Linked DNA regions of Rhinolophus ferrumequinum. The protein of the gene in region 1 interacts with the protein of each later gene in a pairwise test. Links are inferred from orthologs where the notes say so. Each region holds a gene or a part of one and is shown in the gene's direction. Other genes may lie near its edges.

Region 1 (7,442 bases):
AATTATTTTCAAAACTTTCTATTATGTGTCATATTTCCTTCGAACATTACAAATAAAATTGTTTTAGGCACGAATTTCATAATTTTCCATTGAACGCAAATTATATTACAACACTTTCCAAGCGCAGGAATCCTTTAGTTCCTATGGGAGAGAAATAAATTTCCAAAGAGACTGCTTGACTCAGATCACTAGAGCAGAGGTTTACATTAGTTGCCCCAGGGCTAAATGAAGCCCAAAGTTGAAATTACTTGGAATGGGTTTAAATTTTTTTTTAAAAAAAAATCCATTGCCGGCATCTAAAAATTGGGAGATTTGATATAAAACTATAGACATCTAGGGATACTTTAAAAATCTTTAAACCCTGAGCAGTGGGATTGCTGTGTTAACATATGCCAACAATCAAGTGGGCCCCTCTTAGAGGGGTCCTGTCTTCCTTAGTTCACTCCATCCTGTTGTGGCTTGTGTTTCTAACTAGTATTACCTGCCTGTAGACACTTTTTTGCGCTGTTTGGGGGTTGTTGTTTTTTTTAAAACAGTATAGTGAAAAAAATACAAAAGAGTGTCCTATGTAGGACAATAACAATGATATCTAATATCAATCATTAAAATAGAGTAGGAACCAGAGTAGCCCTCTTAGTCACTCAGCTTTATGTAATGCAGTTTAAGAGTTAGCTATGTGATTTTTCTTGCCTTGTAATACGACAGTTGAATGTGAAAACATCCAAATAGACAGAGTATGGATATCCCTGTGAATAGCTTCTGTGAAGCAGATGCCCAGACTGAGAAGAGCATGGCTACCTGCAAACGGCATAGCCTTCACGTCAAACCTTTTGTCTTTTTTAACTTGACATTGAGAACAAATCATTGACAACAACAGTAGCAATAAGGCAGGGGTGTCCAAACTGCGGCCTGCGGGCCAACTGCGGTCCGCAATCCATTGTTAATTGGCCCGCAGCAAATTCCAAAAATATATTTAGTTTACTTAAATAAACCAGGTGAGGCAATACGTACTTCACCTCGAGTGAGTGGCCCGGCTGTTTGTGTATTTTACCGCATATGGCCCCTGGTGAAAAACGTTGAAAAAAGTTTGGACACCCCTGCAATAAGGCCTCATGTAATTTGTAATGGTTGTTTATTCCCATGTATTGAAGGGGTTTCAGAGGACCACAGACTGCTGGCAGGGAAATGGGCTGCATTAATCCCAGCCTCTTAGAGTCTAGTGTTTCAATACCCAAATCTCACTCCAGATCAGCTAACAAACCCAGTCTAATGTCATCTGCCTATGATGGACAAAGGAAACCTTGGGTGATGAGTTGAAGGTTAAATGAAGGGGAAGAACTGAACTGTCTTAGACCCTCTTTCATCTGGTAAAGCACCTCTGTTTGTTGACACTCTTAATGACTTTTCCACTCCTTCCTTACCCCAGTTTGTAAAGGCTCCTCAGATTCAGAAAGATTACAGTTAAGGTCTTGTTTTGTTTCAATCTTTTCCTAGACAATTATTTAAATAGAAATTGCATGTTTTTGTTTATGTGCTCAGCTAGTAATATATAATAACAATGGCTAACATTATCTAGTGCCCATTATATGTGCATTATCTTACTCAATTCTCATTAAAAACCCCATGAGAAATGCTCTCTTTCTTTTTTTAAAAGACGAAATATGAGAGGCCAAATAAAGTATTCATCATAACAGCCATTAATGGCCTGCTCCCAAAATCCTGCTTTCAACCATTATTCTACAAGTGTAGCAGCTTTCAAAGTGTACCATGTCCATCTCTAACAAGAGTAAGAATTAAAACTATGAAAATTAGAGTTTGGTGCAGGACACAGACTATGTCAATAAACCAAAGAATGAAAGAAGATGATGACATTCGGTGAAGGCCAAATGCCAACCAATGCATCACCAAGGAAAATGTTTTTGGAGTTATTAGTATTAGACAGTGAGCAACCCACATAACACGAATCTCCCTGGAGATGTAATGAAATTAAAGAAGATCCAGAGAAAACAACATCAATAATCAAGGAAAAGGAAACGGGGCTTGAATGAGAAGAGACAAAAAGTTAGCAGGCTTTATTTGGGAAAGATGAATACTTAGTGGGGGTGGGTACATCAGGATGGCAGACTCCTAATTAAACTAAAATACAACTTCACCCGGCTAATAATAAGCATTAAGAATGTATTCTGAGAATTGATATGCTTTGGAGGAGATGCTTAGAATATTTGTATCTTTAAGGTTTACATTTTTAAAATTTATTTTTTATTAGTTTCAGGTGTACAAAACAGCATAGTGATTAGACATTTATACCCCTCACAAAGTGATAACCCCAACAAGTCTACTACCCATCTGACCCCCATACATAGCTATTACAATACCATTGACTATATTCTCTATGCTGTACTTTACATCCCGTAATTATACATTTTTTTAATTATAGTTGACATTTAATATTATTTTATATAAGGTTTGCATTTTTAATAAAGAAATTAGTATGTTTAGGAGGTGTATTCCTATTTTCCAGGTTTGAAATACACACCTGCAGCCTGAATGATCTTTTCAAAATGCAAATTTGATCATAGAATACCTTCTTCCATTAAAACGGCTTCTCACTGTTTATTAAGGATTAAAAAATCCTTAACACAGTCATGCAGGGAAATCAAAAGTTCTTGTCCTTACTTTTCCAGGATCCCCTAGAATCACAGTCCCCCTTGCTGGCAATTGTGGCATCATGACAGTTCTCCCAGCATCTAAACTTCAGTGGGCAGCTCCCTCTTCTTGTCTTGGGCCTTATCAGGTCCCCCCTTCCTAGCCCTCACAGCATCTCTTTTTCCTCCCCACTAGACTGTTAATTCTGGGTAGGCAGAGGTGACCTGCCGTTGCTTACCTTTGTGTCCCCAGCAGTTGTCAGTCGGTAAAAGCCCTGGAAATATCTGTTGACTAGAGGAGCCCAGGCCCTCCTTTAATACCACTCCCCAGAGCCCAGTTCTGGTTGGGTTAAATTAGGGAGCCAGTGATTAGAGGTAGTATTTTTATTTCATTTTTGAAAACTTGGAAGGAAAAAGAATTTTCTGTATGTAAACTAATATATGACTATGAAATCAATCATTTTAAACTAAGAGAGACTAAACGCTTCCATTTGCATTTAAATCCATTTAAAAATAGACTCTGCCCCCAGCTCCCTTGCTTTATATAGCTCCATCTAAGACACTTCATATATTTCACTTATTTATTTTCTTTATTGTGCATCTTCCCCACTAAGAAGTAAACTCCAGGAGGGATGGGATGTCTGTCAGTTTTGCTCACTGCTGTATCTCCAGAGCCTAAAACAGTTTGGGGCACATAGTAGTAAATGTTCTCAGTATAGTATTTGTCGAATGAATGGTTTTACATTAGTAGTTTTCTTTGCCCAGAAGTAATGGCAGAAAGCATCAATTAGCCCCAAAGTAAATTTTCGTGGAACTCTGGTCTGGATTTTTTAAAATCTTAGAGATTGTATTCAATTATGATCTTTAAAAATTAGGCTTCCTAAGTATGTCTGGGGCCGTAAAATTATAATGCATCTGAATCACCTGAGAACTTATAAAAATGCAAATTATTACCATCAGAGATTCTAATTCTGCAGTCTGGGGTCGGATCCTACCAGTTCCAGGAGCTGCGTTTGGTTGTAGCCCAAGGGCCATACTTTGAGAAACACTGGCTGCGATTGCACACAGTAGACTCAACACGTGCTGAGTGAAAACATCCTTCTTTACAGCAGGGTTAATTGCTTGCATTCGTTCTGTTCTGTACGCCTACGGGCCTTAGCAATGAATACTGAATGTCCAAGGGACAGGTACTCTTCTCCGCATTTTACACATCAGGAAAGACTGATCCGTACTTCCCTGCTTCTCCTCGATTCCCGCGAATTTATACGGTTCCTACCAGGATGAAAGGGAGAATCACAGAGATTTTTAAGTGTTGAAAGCTACCAAGAAAAACAAGGAAAGGGCGCGGTGTCCCAGTGTTCAGCCGAGAGCTCCCCAACAAGTAGAGGCCTCGTGGGTACAGCCTTTGCCTTTGCCCCAGACGCCAACAGTTGGAGACCTTTAGGCGCTTCCTGCTGCAGACGTGCAGGCCAGAGGAAAACATTCCAGACTCTGCAGAGGAGGTGCGGGGTGGGGCTAGAGGGGCGGGACCAGAGGATTGCCTGAAGCTGAAGCTGAGACTGGCGAGCCCAGCCCCGGGAAGGAGACCAGGGGCGGGGCAGTGGGCGGGGCTTGAGCGCGAGGCTGGGCTGGCCCAGGAGAGGGGGCGGGGCCTGAAAACAGCTGGAGGCGGTGGCGTGCTACCCAGGAGGCGGTGAGGAGGCAAAGCTGAGCCGCCTCGTCCCTCCCCTTGGGGTGGGCCCTGCGGGAGGGCGAGGCTGGGAGGTCGCGCGGGAGGCAGTGCGCTCTAGCCGCCTGTGCGAGGGCGCTTCGCTCCCATTCTGGCCATGGCCGAACTTCTCCGCAGCAGGGGCAACCGATCCCGGGCTTCTCGCCCCGCTCCTTGAACGCTCTTCCTTTTCGACCTCTGGAAAACCCCGTTTCTTTCTGGGGCCGTGGCGAGTGGCACCAAGAGGCGAGCAAGGATGCGCTGAGGACCTCCGGGGCGCGCGTCTTGGGTGCCGCCGTGGGTCCTGGCGCAGGAGCCCAGCTGCCTCCGGCTGCCTCGATTTCCCTACTGCGTGCCTGCCACCCCCAGCCGCACTTGATGTGCAGAAAGAAGCCGGACACCATGATCCTAACACGTAAGCTAGACTTGTGCCTTGCCGTTAGGCCAGCCGCGGGAGCCAGCTGCGGAAGGGACCCACCGCGGAGGAAATGTCACCCCGCCTTATCAAGTCGGTGCCTGACGTTCTGTGCTTTTGAAACGCTTTCCGAGGAGGCTTGGGATGGAGTCGCCCGAGTTTCTTGGAGTGGAGGAGGTGGAGTGTGGGAAAAACGAGGGGTTGGGGTGGGGGTCCTTAATCTCAGGTAATGACCCCTGGCTGCTCATTGCCTGGGGGCCTCGGGCTGGCGCGTCCAGTGGGTTCCAAGAAGGGCTGCGGGCTGGGGGCGACCGCGACTGATTAAGTTAAGCCCGGGTTAACTTCCCGCTGCGGCTGGGACGTAGGGCCGGGCTAAGGGTGCAGGACCCGGCGTGGGGCGTAGGGTCAGGCAGGGGGCTCAGGGCCAGGCATCTTCTATCCCCGCTGGAAATCCCAGGCGGCGATGGCCTCCGGCTCCCAGGGACGTGGCGTGACAGCCTTTCTAGCATATTTCCTTCGGAGACCTTTCAGGGCTCGGTACTTGCTGTCCTTCACCGTACAAGTTCAAAATCAGCGTTGATTCCCTGAAAGTTTATTAATAATTTAAGGACGTTTAGACCGTGGTGGCACATGGAAATGTTTTGTTTTTTTAAAACGGAAAGTAAATTCATCCAAAAAAATTGTTTTAATTTTAAACTGTTTTTGTTCAAATATTTTAAACGCTGGACAATAAGGCAGACGTAGGAAAGTCTCTGGTGGCTGCCGGCCCCTGGAGAGCTTTGAAGCAATTTGGCTAGTCCCATGGTTTGTGAGGGGGGTCTGCGAGAAAGGCTGCGGTGTGGCTTCACGTTCTGGGGCGCTGAATCGGTTTCCTGAAATGTCCGGTGGAGATGCCCACGCCCCTGGCTCCCGAGGGGGCGCCGGCGCTGAGCGACTCCCAGAGCCAGCGAAAGGAAGGAAACACGCCGCCGGACCGACTTTTTTCGGAGTGAGGCGACGGCCTTTTAGAACTCTGCCCCACTCTGTGCTCTTGTCCCCACCTCCAACGTCACGGGCCGAGCCTTTGATCCTACCGAAGGAGTTGCGCCCCCGGCTGTAGCAAACTGGCCCTGCCACGTGTAATTGACCGAGTCAACGCGCGTCTTTCCAGCGCATAACCCATATTTCGAAGGGAGTTAGAGGGGACCCCGGGAGAGGCAGGTTGCGGGGTCCGCTCTAACTCCTGGAATCCTGGGTCTGCAGCCTAGTAGTTGGACGAATCTAGGAAGTGACAGGGCCTACCTCCTTCGTCTGAAACGTGGGGATAGTAATTGCGTTTACTGCGCGAAGCGGTTGTGGGAGTCAAATGAGCTAATACGAGTGCTTAGCACAGTGTCTGGTACTGATGTTTTACAAATACCCAATTTATGCTAGTTATTGTAGAAGGAAACTCCCTGCATATAGTCAGTCTGCACTGGGGAGAAGAAAACCTTGCCTCACACTAGTTTTGAGTGAGTTTTTCTACATCCAACATGGTTAGCAAATGGGTTCATTCTCAGGATTTGAAGGCTGGTTCAGCCATTGTTGATGAGGTGGAGGAATGCAGCCTAGGCACAGCTATCCGCTACAGAAAGATTCATGAGGGTGGCATCTATGACGCATTTGGGTAGGAAAAAAAATCACAGTTTTGGAAAAAGCAGAATTCTGAGTCTCAAATTACATTTTTTTCCAAACTCTGTTTGCTGAAAGGATGAGAGAAAATAATAGGCCAGCAGAACTCTGAATGTAAATCTATCAGCAGCTCCAAGAGGTTGACTAATTCAGCATCCATCTGGACTGCAGGCTGGTCCTCCGCAGAGATAATTTGCAGACCATAAGTGTGGAATTAATGGAGGCACCCAGTGCCATCTTGGCTTCCAGACTGCAGCAGATGGTCAGAGGGGTGCCCTGTAAGTCAACAGACCCCCTAATAGAAGAACTAAAATCCTGGGGAATGAGTGTCAAATAGTTAGCAGATGTGCGTTCAGAAGTTATTTCGAGACATTTTCTGAGAAAATGTTGGCGATTGCTTGTATTAACTTTTATTGTGGCATGCCAGATTTACAGCGTGGCCCAAACCTGGGTGCATATTTTTTTCATTAGCACTACTGTTCAGAGTTTAAAATGAAGCACAGCAGACTGACTTTCTCTTGCAGCTGCTTTTAAAAGTTTGCTTTTAACAAAAACGGATTTTATTTTAATTCAAGCTGAGTGACACCTGACACAAAATAGGCTGAAGCTCAAGAACGGGGCCTGACTTGGTTTCCCAGCTACGCAGAATCAGAATAAGTATCTCCCAACTTAAATCTTTCCCTAGAGTGAATGGGAAAAGTGGTTTTGGTGACTACCATTGTGTCTTAAATTCCCAATTGTAGATCTTATAAGAAACACCACTTACTCCTGGAAGAGTAAAAAGGTTGAACAGTTAAGCAGTTAACTGTGACTAATTGTAGGCAGTGTGCCAAGTTTTAATACACTGGACCAGGCAAAGGATTTTCCTGTAGCTGTGTAGTGAAAAAGAGAGACTCTATTGCACTTTAACCTAAAGCCTTTCTTTGTTTATTATTTTGTTGTCATTCTATATTGCATTTCAAAGAGCAAAGACCAAGCAAAGCTTGGTTGCTTCTGGAAAAGATACCAGATTAATAGAAAAGCA
Region 2 (7,527 bases), on another chromosome or scaffold:
GGAGGACAGAAGAGGGTAAAGGGGATCAACTATATGGTGATGGAAGGAGATCTGACTCTGCGTAGTGAACACAATGCAATATACAGATGATGTATTACAGAAATGTACACTTGAAACCTATATAATTTTACTAATCAATGTCACCCAAATAAATTTAATAAATAAAAAATATTCCTTTAACCCGTACCTCCTCAATGTTATTTTCTCAAAACATATCCTCAATAAGGAAATTTTTAATATTGGGCATTTTAAGATGTGGGCAACAAATGCACCAGGGATATTAGGGGTTAGGAGTAAAGGTTTCCTTTCAAATTTTAGGGTAACTGAAACCTTTTGACACTATTTAGAAAAACTTAGAAGTCTGTTTGTATACCTAAGTATGTACTAGGGCATGAAACATAATTTGCAATTCTTCAAACACAGCTGCAAGCTCTTCATCACTTCTTGCTTAGTCTTTCCCTCAGAAGCTACTCATATATTTGATCTAACCCTCTTGAGGTCCTGTAAAATTTTGTTACTGACTCAGAATTACCTTTCACACACTGAGGTATCAAAACTGCAAAATATTTCAGAATGTATTACATTCATATTTGGGATGCCAATATAATCAGAATGAGCCAAATTCATTTTTTAAATTAAATGTTCAGATTCTTTTCACCCACAAGTCTTTGTTCAGCATTTTTGATCATTTAGTCTTCATTAAATACTATGTTTAATTAAATATGTAGAGATACTTTTCTAAAATCATAGATATCAAAATCGCTTTATTAAAGGTAAAAGCTATTTGAATTTTCCTCTTTTGGATATTGTTCTGTTTTTCAGTACCTCCTGTTTAATATTATCTGTGAATTTAATTAACAGACTGTTTACTTCCCTTTGTTAGTTGGTGTTACATAACACCACACCTAGCATCAATTCCTGCAGAATCCCTGTAATGCCTTTCTCCATGTAGATATTTCATTGTTTTTTTAAAAAATTTTTCTTCAGTTTTTGACTCATGAAACTTCAAGGAGTATATCTATGTCAGGAAATTCAGGGGCTTAGAAGAAAAGGAAAACACGGAAGCATAAATTGAAGTAGAAATTAGCAGGAAAAAAGAGAACATGAATGAGAGAAGGGCAAAGGGTCAAGGTGAGAAGAAAAAGAAATAAGGCAATAGACAAAAATAAATGTAGAAACATTTCACTCTTCTGGAAAAAATAAAATGTCACTGAAGGTAGATGACTGATTTGAGATTAAGGAAGTACGCAAGGAAGAGTAAGGATGAAAGCCTACATCTGTCAAATAAAAGAAATATATAACATATTTGAAAATACCTCATCAAAAATACGTGGTAATCTTTTTGGATGAAAAGGACAGCAAAACTGTAAGATTAAATATAAGGTAAGATGTTGGTATTAGTTTGATTTAAAATAGAGTCTTTCTTACTAATTGCACAATTGCTGTCCAAAGATACTGATCTATTCCAGTATTTGTTAAAAGGATGGAGATCTGTTCAAAGCAGTTGGCAAGGATGCCTATCACTGGACTAGGCAGTAGGATAGACCACAGGTTTCTATTTGCAGTATAGTTTTGCAGATACATCCACCTAAAAGTAACTAAAAAACTATATAACTTAGTATCTGATTGGTGTTGGACTTCATTACATATTGGCCTTTAATTGCTAAGGAATGTCAAAAAAGGGGAAGGAGGTAATTTTGCAATTTATAGTAGAGAGTCTGACTTGGAATCTCAGGCAACAGATAGTGTGTGAGCTCTTAGGGAAGAGAGACCAGTGATAACCAAGAGCTGGTGATATCTGCCAGCCCAACCTCCTACATTCAAAAGCTGATGGTGGTAATTGGGATGGATGTGATGCAGGACTGGCATGTTAACACACAGAGTTTTCAAACACAGGTTACATGTAAATTTGTTGGCAGTGGGTGGAATAGGTATTTTGATGGTCTCTTCTAACTGTGAGGATCTAAGTTTAAAAAAAATACAAAATTTCGTCAGGTTGGCCACTATAAGAAGTAGGTCTTCATTATTCTCTTTAGTATTATGGAATTACTTCATTATGTACTTTTTCACGTCCTAATCTCCTTTCTAGAATAACATAGAGTTTAGCAACCCAATACGTACATCTCTTACCCACCTACCTAATGAGTGATACTGAGTTGGCTTTCTCACCTATTCCTCTTTCTTTCAGAACCATTTTTAGGTATTGCATACCTCCTACCTGATTAGCATACTATAGTAAGGTGGTTCTTAAATGGGTAAACTTGGAGGTTCATTAAAACATTAATTACTGCAGTTTCTAATTCAGAGTGTCCAAAATGGGGCCAATGAATTTGCATTTCTAACAAGGCCCTAGGATAATGGTGGTCTGAGACCATTCTTGTGACTAGTCCATCTTCATTCTCCCAAGTGATATACTGTGAAGAAGTAAGCACACTGAAGGAGTCCTCAGGACTACTGTTTAATCAAGTTTGTCAATGATTTGGCAAATAGATTATGCAAACTGCTAAAGTAAAGGAAATTGTCTCTCATGCACCTTTACAACTCTTTTAATAGTCTTTTCCTTTTTTCCCAGGGCCTCTGTAACAGCCCTTTCCCATCCCCAATGTGCTATGTTGGTTTGATCATCCTTAGAGAAAATATCGATCTCAAAGATCAATGTTTACTGGTATTTAATGTGGGATTCCTCCTGGGAGAATTTAAAAGAACGATATATGAATCCAAAAGGGCAAATTACCTATACTGTAATTTCAAACTAAGGGAATGATTCCTCCACCTATATAAATACATATAATAGTGTTTATAAGTTTTATTTATTCATATATATGTGTATATATATAGTGTGTGTGTGTATATATATATACACACACACATACAGAAGGTGCCAAAAAATGTATACACATTTTAAGAAAGGAAAACTGTATTAAAATTGTAATAATACATATCGATAATAAAAGATGACTACAAATCACGTTTGATTTCTGCAATTACAAGAGGTGATTAAAGTGGTTACCATCAGTGTCCAGACACTTCTGATTACGGCAAACTACTGCTTGAGCAATGTTGACCAAAGTCCACTTGTACACATTTTTTTGCGATAATGCATATAATAGTATGTGATAATGCATGTGTTTATAAATACATATTTATTCATATATATGTATGTATGTGTGTCTATGTGTGTGTGTGTATATATATATATATATATATACACACATACATACACGGAGGGTGCCAAAAAACATATACACATTTTAAGAAAGGGAAACTGTATTAAAATTGTAATACTCAATATATACCGGTAACAAAAGATGAATACAAGTCATGTATAGAAGTATAAAAGACAAAACAAAACCCACCTCCTTTTTGGCTATATTAAGGGTGAGATCTCAGTTTATTGATAATTTTTGAATGGGCACTTCCGGATATTCTTGACATTTGCCTTGTTGAAAGTCCTCTTGTGTGTTACATGTGAATTATGGAGCATGCCTTGCTTTCTTTTTCACATAGAAGAGGACAAAAGTGTATTGATTGGTGTGGTATGTAGCACCCCTCCTCTCCACACCTCATTAGTACCCAATAGACTTGGCAATGGCACAGGTGTGTGTGTGTGTGTGTGAGAGAGAGAGAGAGAGAGAGAGAGAGAGAGAGAGAGAGAGAGAGAGAGAGAGAGAGAGAGAAACAGAGGAGGTGAGGTCAATGAAGAAAACAAAACGTGTATAGTCATAGAAATCTGACTTCACAGCCATTATTTCTGCGAAAATTCTTAACGCTTCCCATAGTCTCTCTCCCCCACCCCCGCTCCCCCCGTATCCATTTCGTTTTCTTGAGTTTCACAGCCTAGAGCTTTATTTCATTTTTTTAGTTTGCAATAGTCATATAGTGATTTATATTATGCAACAAAAATGAAAACATTAGTACTGCCTCAACCTTCGAGGCAGTCTGCAAGTCCCCCATCCCAACACCCCTACCCCGGTCCTTGGCCGTTAGGTGTTTGCGCCGCCGGCTAATGGTGTTTTTTCTACCGGTCAGGAAGCTGTGAACTGGCTTTGCAGCATCTTCCGTTCCTTTTCCCCGTCCTTCCTCTCTAGGCTTCTTACCCTTCTGTCTCCTGTTTTCACGGAGCTGAGCGGCAGCTTGCTTAGATACCCACTCTCCCCTTCCCCTCCCCACCCGCCCATCAAACAAAGCCCAGTGAGACAGGCGCGCGCCACTGGCGACACCGATGCGAGAAGCGGCCGCGCCGCCACGCGCTCGAACCGGAGTGGGACAGCGGGCGCGACCGCGCATCGCGCGTCCCCGCTGCTTCCTTCCCTCCGGACTCTTCCTTTTCCTTTCTCCAGGCCCATTCCCCACCCGCTCCCGCAACGCGCCTGTGCAGAAGCGCCCTCTCCCTCCTCCTTCCCCGCCCTTCCTTCCCTCCGCTCCTCCTCCGGTGCTCCGCCTTCCTTTCTCTCTCGTCTATTTCACTGAGAGCTCCAGGTTGGGAGCTGTTCAGTCGACTTCCCCACCACCCCGCCCCCCTTCCTCTTTTCTCCCCACCCCTCCCGTCTCCAGGCCGGTGGAGGATGAAGCGGCTGCAGTGGCCCCAGCCCCAGCAGCGGCACCAGCGGTGGCTGCGGTGGGGGTGGCCGGAACTGGGGTGGTGAAGCGGTGGCGGCGGCAGCGGCGGTGGCCCAAGGAGCGGCAGCCGCCCAGCCGCTTCCCCTGTGCTTCCCTTCCTCTTTAGTGAGCCAGGAAGTTTTTCGCTTCTGTGCATGTATGTGCGTGAGTGTGGGTGTATAGGGGAAGGTTTGGGCGGCGTTTGTGCAGGCGTTGGGTTTTTTGCCCACTTCGCTTCCCGTAACCCGGGCAGCTCGGGAGCCTGGGCTGTGGCCCGAGGAGGGGGCGCGGCGGCGACTCTCCTTTTGTTGTTGTTTCCTCCGCCTGGGGAGCTGAAGAGGGGACGCGTCTGGGTGGGGCGGCTCGGAGCCCGGGCCTGGTGGCCCCCGGGGCTCCCGGGCGGGCTGGGTAAGGCAGAGTAGAGCGGACTTCAACATGATGGCGGCCGAGGCCGGCAGTGAGGAGGGCGGTCCGGTGACCGCCGGGGCAGCAGGAGGCGGCGCGGCCGCGGGCTCGAGTGCCTATCCGGCAGTGTGTCGGGTGAAGATCCCTCCGGCCCTGCCTGTGGCAGCCGCCCCCTATCCTGGGCTGGCGGAGGCCGGAGTGGCCGGGACTCTGGGTAGCGGAGCCGCTTTGGGGTCAGGGTTCCTAGGAGCCGGGTCTGTGGCAGGGACACTGGGGGGAGCCGCACTGTCAGGGGGAGGTGCTGCTGCTGGCGTGGCTGGTGCTGCCGCCGCCGGACCTGGTGGGGAGATGGCTCTCACCAAAGGGACCACTTCATTGCCTGCTGAGAACTTCGGGGCAGGCGGCGGATTCCCTCCTCTGCCACCTCCTCCTCAACTGCCCCCTTTGGGCGCGGGCCTGGGAACAGTGGACGAAGGTGACTCTCTAGATGGACCAGAATACGAGGAGGAAGAGGTGGCCATCCCGCTGACCGCTCCTCCAACTAACCAGTAAGTCAAGACCGCTGTTCAGTGACGGGGAAAGTTGGCTCCTGCAAATAAGTGGAAAAACATACTCGTTCTGTCAGCTATAATTTGTTGTGAAAAGTTTTGAAGCGTCAAGTTCTACGCGTAGGGATTTAATTTGATCACTTATCTTCCCTACGGGCACATTCCCTGGCTTCCTCTGGGAAGATGTGAAGTTTTTAAGATGGGAAGCATAGGGAAATGTGTATCAGGTGACAACCGGATGTGGTTCTACCCCTTCTCAATTGAGGTGGCGTCCTGGGATTCAGCTGAGCTGGCAGCTACCAGGGCAGTCGTAGTCTTATATAGTACTAACCTGTGTGTTCTCTGTTGGAGCTGGATGATTAATTAGAAGTTTTGAATACAAGTATTTGAATGAGTGTTGTACTGATTATCATTTAAAACATGCCTTGGTCAGAATGCTTTGTTTTTGTTCCACTGCAAATTCTAACTTCTGCCTACTGAAAAGCATAGCGATGCAAAAGTTTTTGGATGACTTATGAAAACCTGTGTCAGCGAGAAAGAAAAGTTCTATGACTTACAGGTGTGATTAAGGGCCAGTACTCCTACAGTATCTGTAACTTGTGCCATTGAATTCCTGTGTATTAATATTAGTGCCATTCTTTTATAGTTGAGACTTTGTAAGTACAATATTGAAGTAAAACAAAATTAATAGTGTGCTTCCCTTTCAACGCTTTTCATTGGTGACCAATACAGTATTCTATTTCTAAATTTGACAGTCTACTGCAGAATATATCGAACAAATGACTTTTCCGTATAAAGTTAGTACATCTCTCTTGTTATCTTCATAATTGAATTTAGGTATGTGTTTATGTATGAAGGTGGACCTTGATGAGAGGAAAATGTTGATGTTCGGATGGTGATAGGAGGCAAAACTTGTATAGAACTCTCACAGCTGTCCTAATAGACCTTTAGAATTTCTACAACCTTGGTGAATATCAGAGGAAAAAAAAGGTTTGATTGACAGTTACTCTGGACACTTGAAAGTATTACTTAAAAAAGTTTTTTTGGATAAGCTTCTTTGGAATATTTAGAAAGGACTTTAAAAACAAATTAGGAAAATTCTGTAATACTAGCCTATTCTGTCTTAAGATGTAAGCCTATTCTGTCTTACATCTTTTGATACTTAGGTAGAAAAGTAAAGTTAGTCTTATGTCAGCCATGGTATAGGGGTGTTGTTTTCCTTTATGTTGTTCAATACGAGTTCAATTTTCTTTATCTAATTGTATTCAAACTTACCATGTCAGGTCTAGGTATTGCAGACTTTTCTGAAGGTGTTCTGAGAGTGTTAAAAATTCAGATTTTACACACTGTTTACACACCTTCAAACCTTTTTGAAAAAATCAGTTAAACATAAAGTACCCACTACATACTCAGCATTATAGTTATAATAAAGTGCAACTTTTCATACTGAAAGAATATAGTCTTATGCCAGTTCATAATTGAGTTAGGCATATTTAGTATATTGTAGTTTTAAATTTTTTACAAATAAAATTTGTAGAGCAATTTTAGATTCACAGCAAAATTGAGCAGAAAATACAGAGCATTCCCATTAAGTTTTTTGTAATAAACATAAATACGTACGTAACGTAGGAAAATTGTGTTTGTGAGGAGTCCATTGTATGAGATTTTCATTTGGTATTATGTATTTGAGAATAAAAATATTTGTGTGACTATGTATATGAGATTTGTTCTATTTCTAAAAAGTATCCTCCATTTCTAGTATGTTTTTTAAGTTTGCCACTGAGAAGTACAAATTTCCCTCTTTTCTTTATCTTAGATATCAACCCAGAGTCATTGGAGGCAATACAGTGTAGTGGTTAAGCGTGCAAATTCTGAAGTTAGACAAGATTTGGGTTGGAATCCTGACTACCACTTACTAGCTGTGTGATCTTGGAAAGGTCAGTGTCCCCATCTGTAAAATGGGGATAATAATGGT

What was found. The genes of interacting proteins can lie anywhere in the genome.
Region 2: the proteins of rho GTPase-activating protein 7 (region 1) and RASA1 interact in binary tests that used the Homo sapiens proteins (3 or more experiments, as listed by UniProt). The link is inferred for Rhinolophus ferrumequinum from reciprocal best matches to the Homo sapiens genes DLC1 and RASA1.

What each region holds. Positions count from the first base shown.
Region 1 is NC_046287.1:69,504,244-69,511,685, reverse strand, and holds the start of rho GTPase-activating protein 7, read left to right. Parts: upstream 1-4,370; 5' UTR 4,371-4,731; coding exon 4,732-4,945; intron 4,946-7,442. UniProt on the Homo sapiens protein: Functions as a GTPase-activating protein for the small GTPases RHOA, RHOB, RHOC and CDC42, terminating their downstream signaling.
Region 2 is NC_046290.1:56,677,086-56,684,612, forward strand, and holds the start of RASA1 (ras GTPase-activating protein 1), read left to right. Parts: upstream 1-4,468; 5' UTR 4,469-5,034; coding exon 5,035-5,552; intron 5,553-7,527. UniProt on the Homo sapiens protein: Inhibitory regulator of the Ras-cyclic AMP pathway. Stimulates the GTPase of normal but not oncogenic Ras p21; this stimulation may be further increased in the presence of NCK1.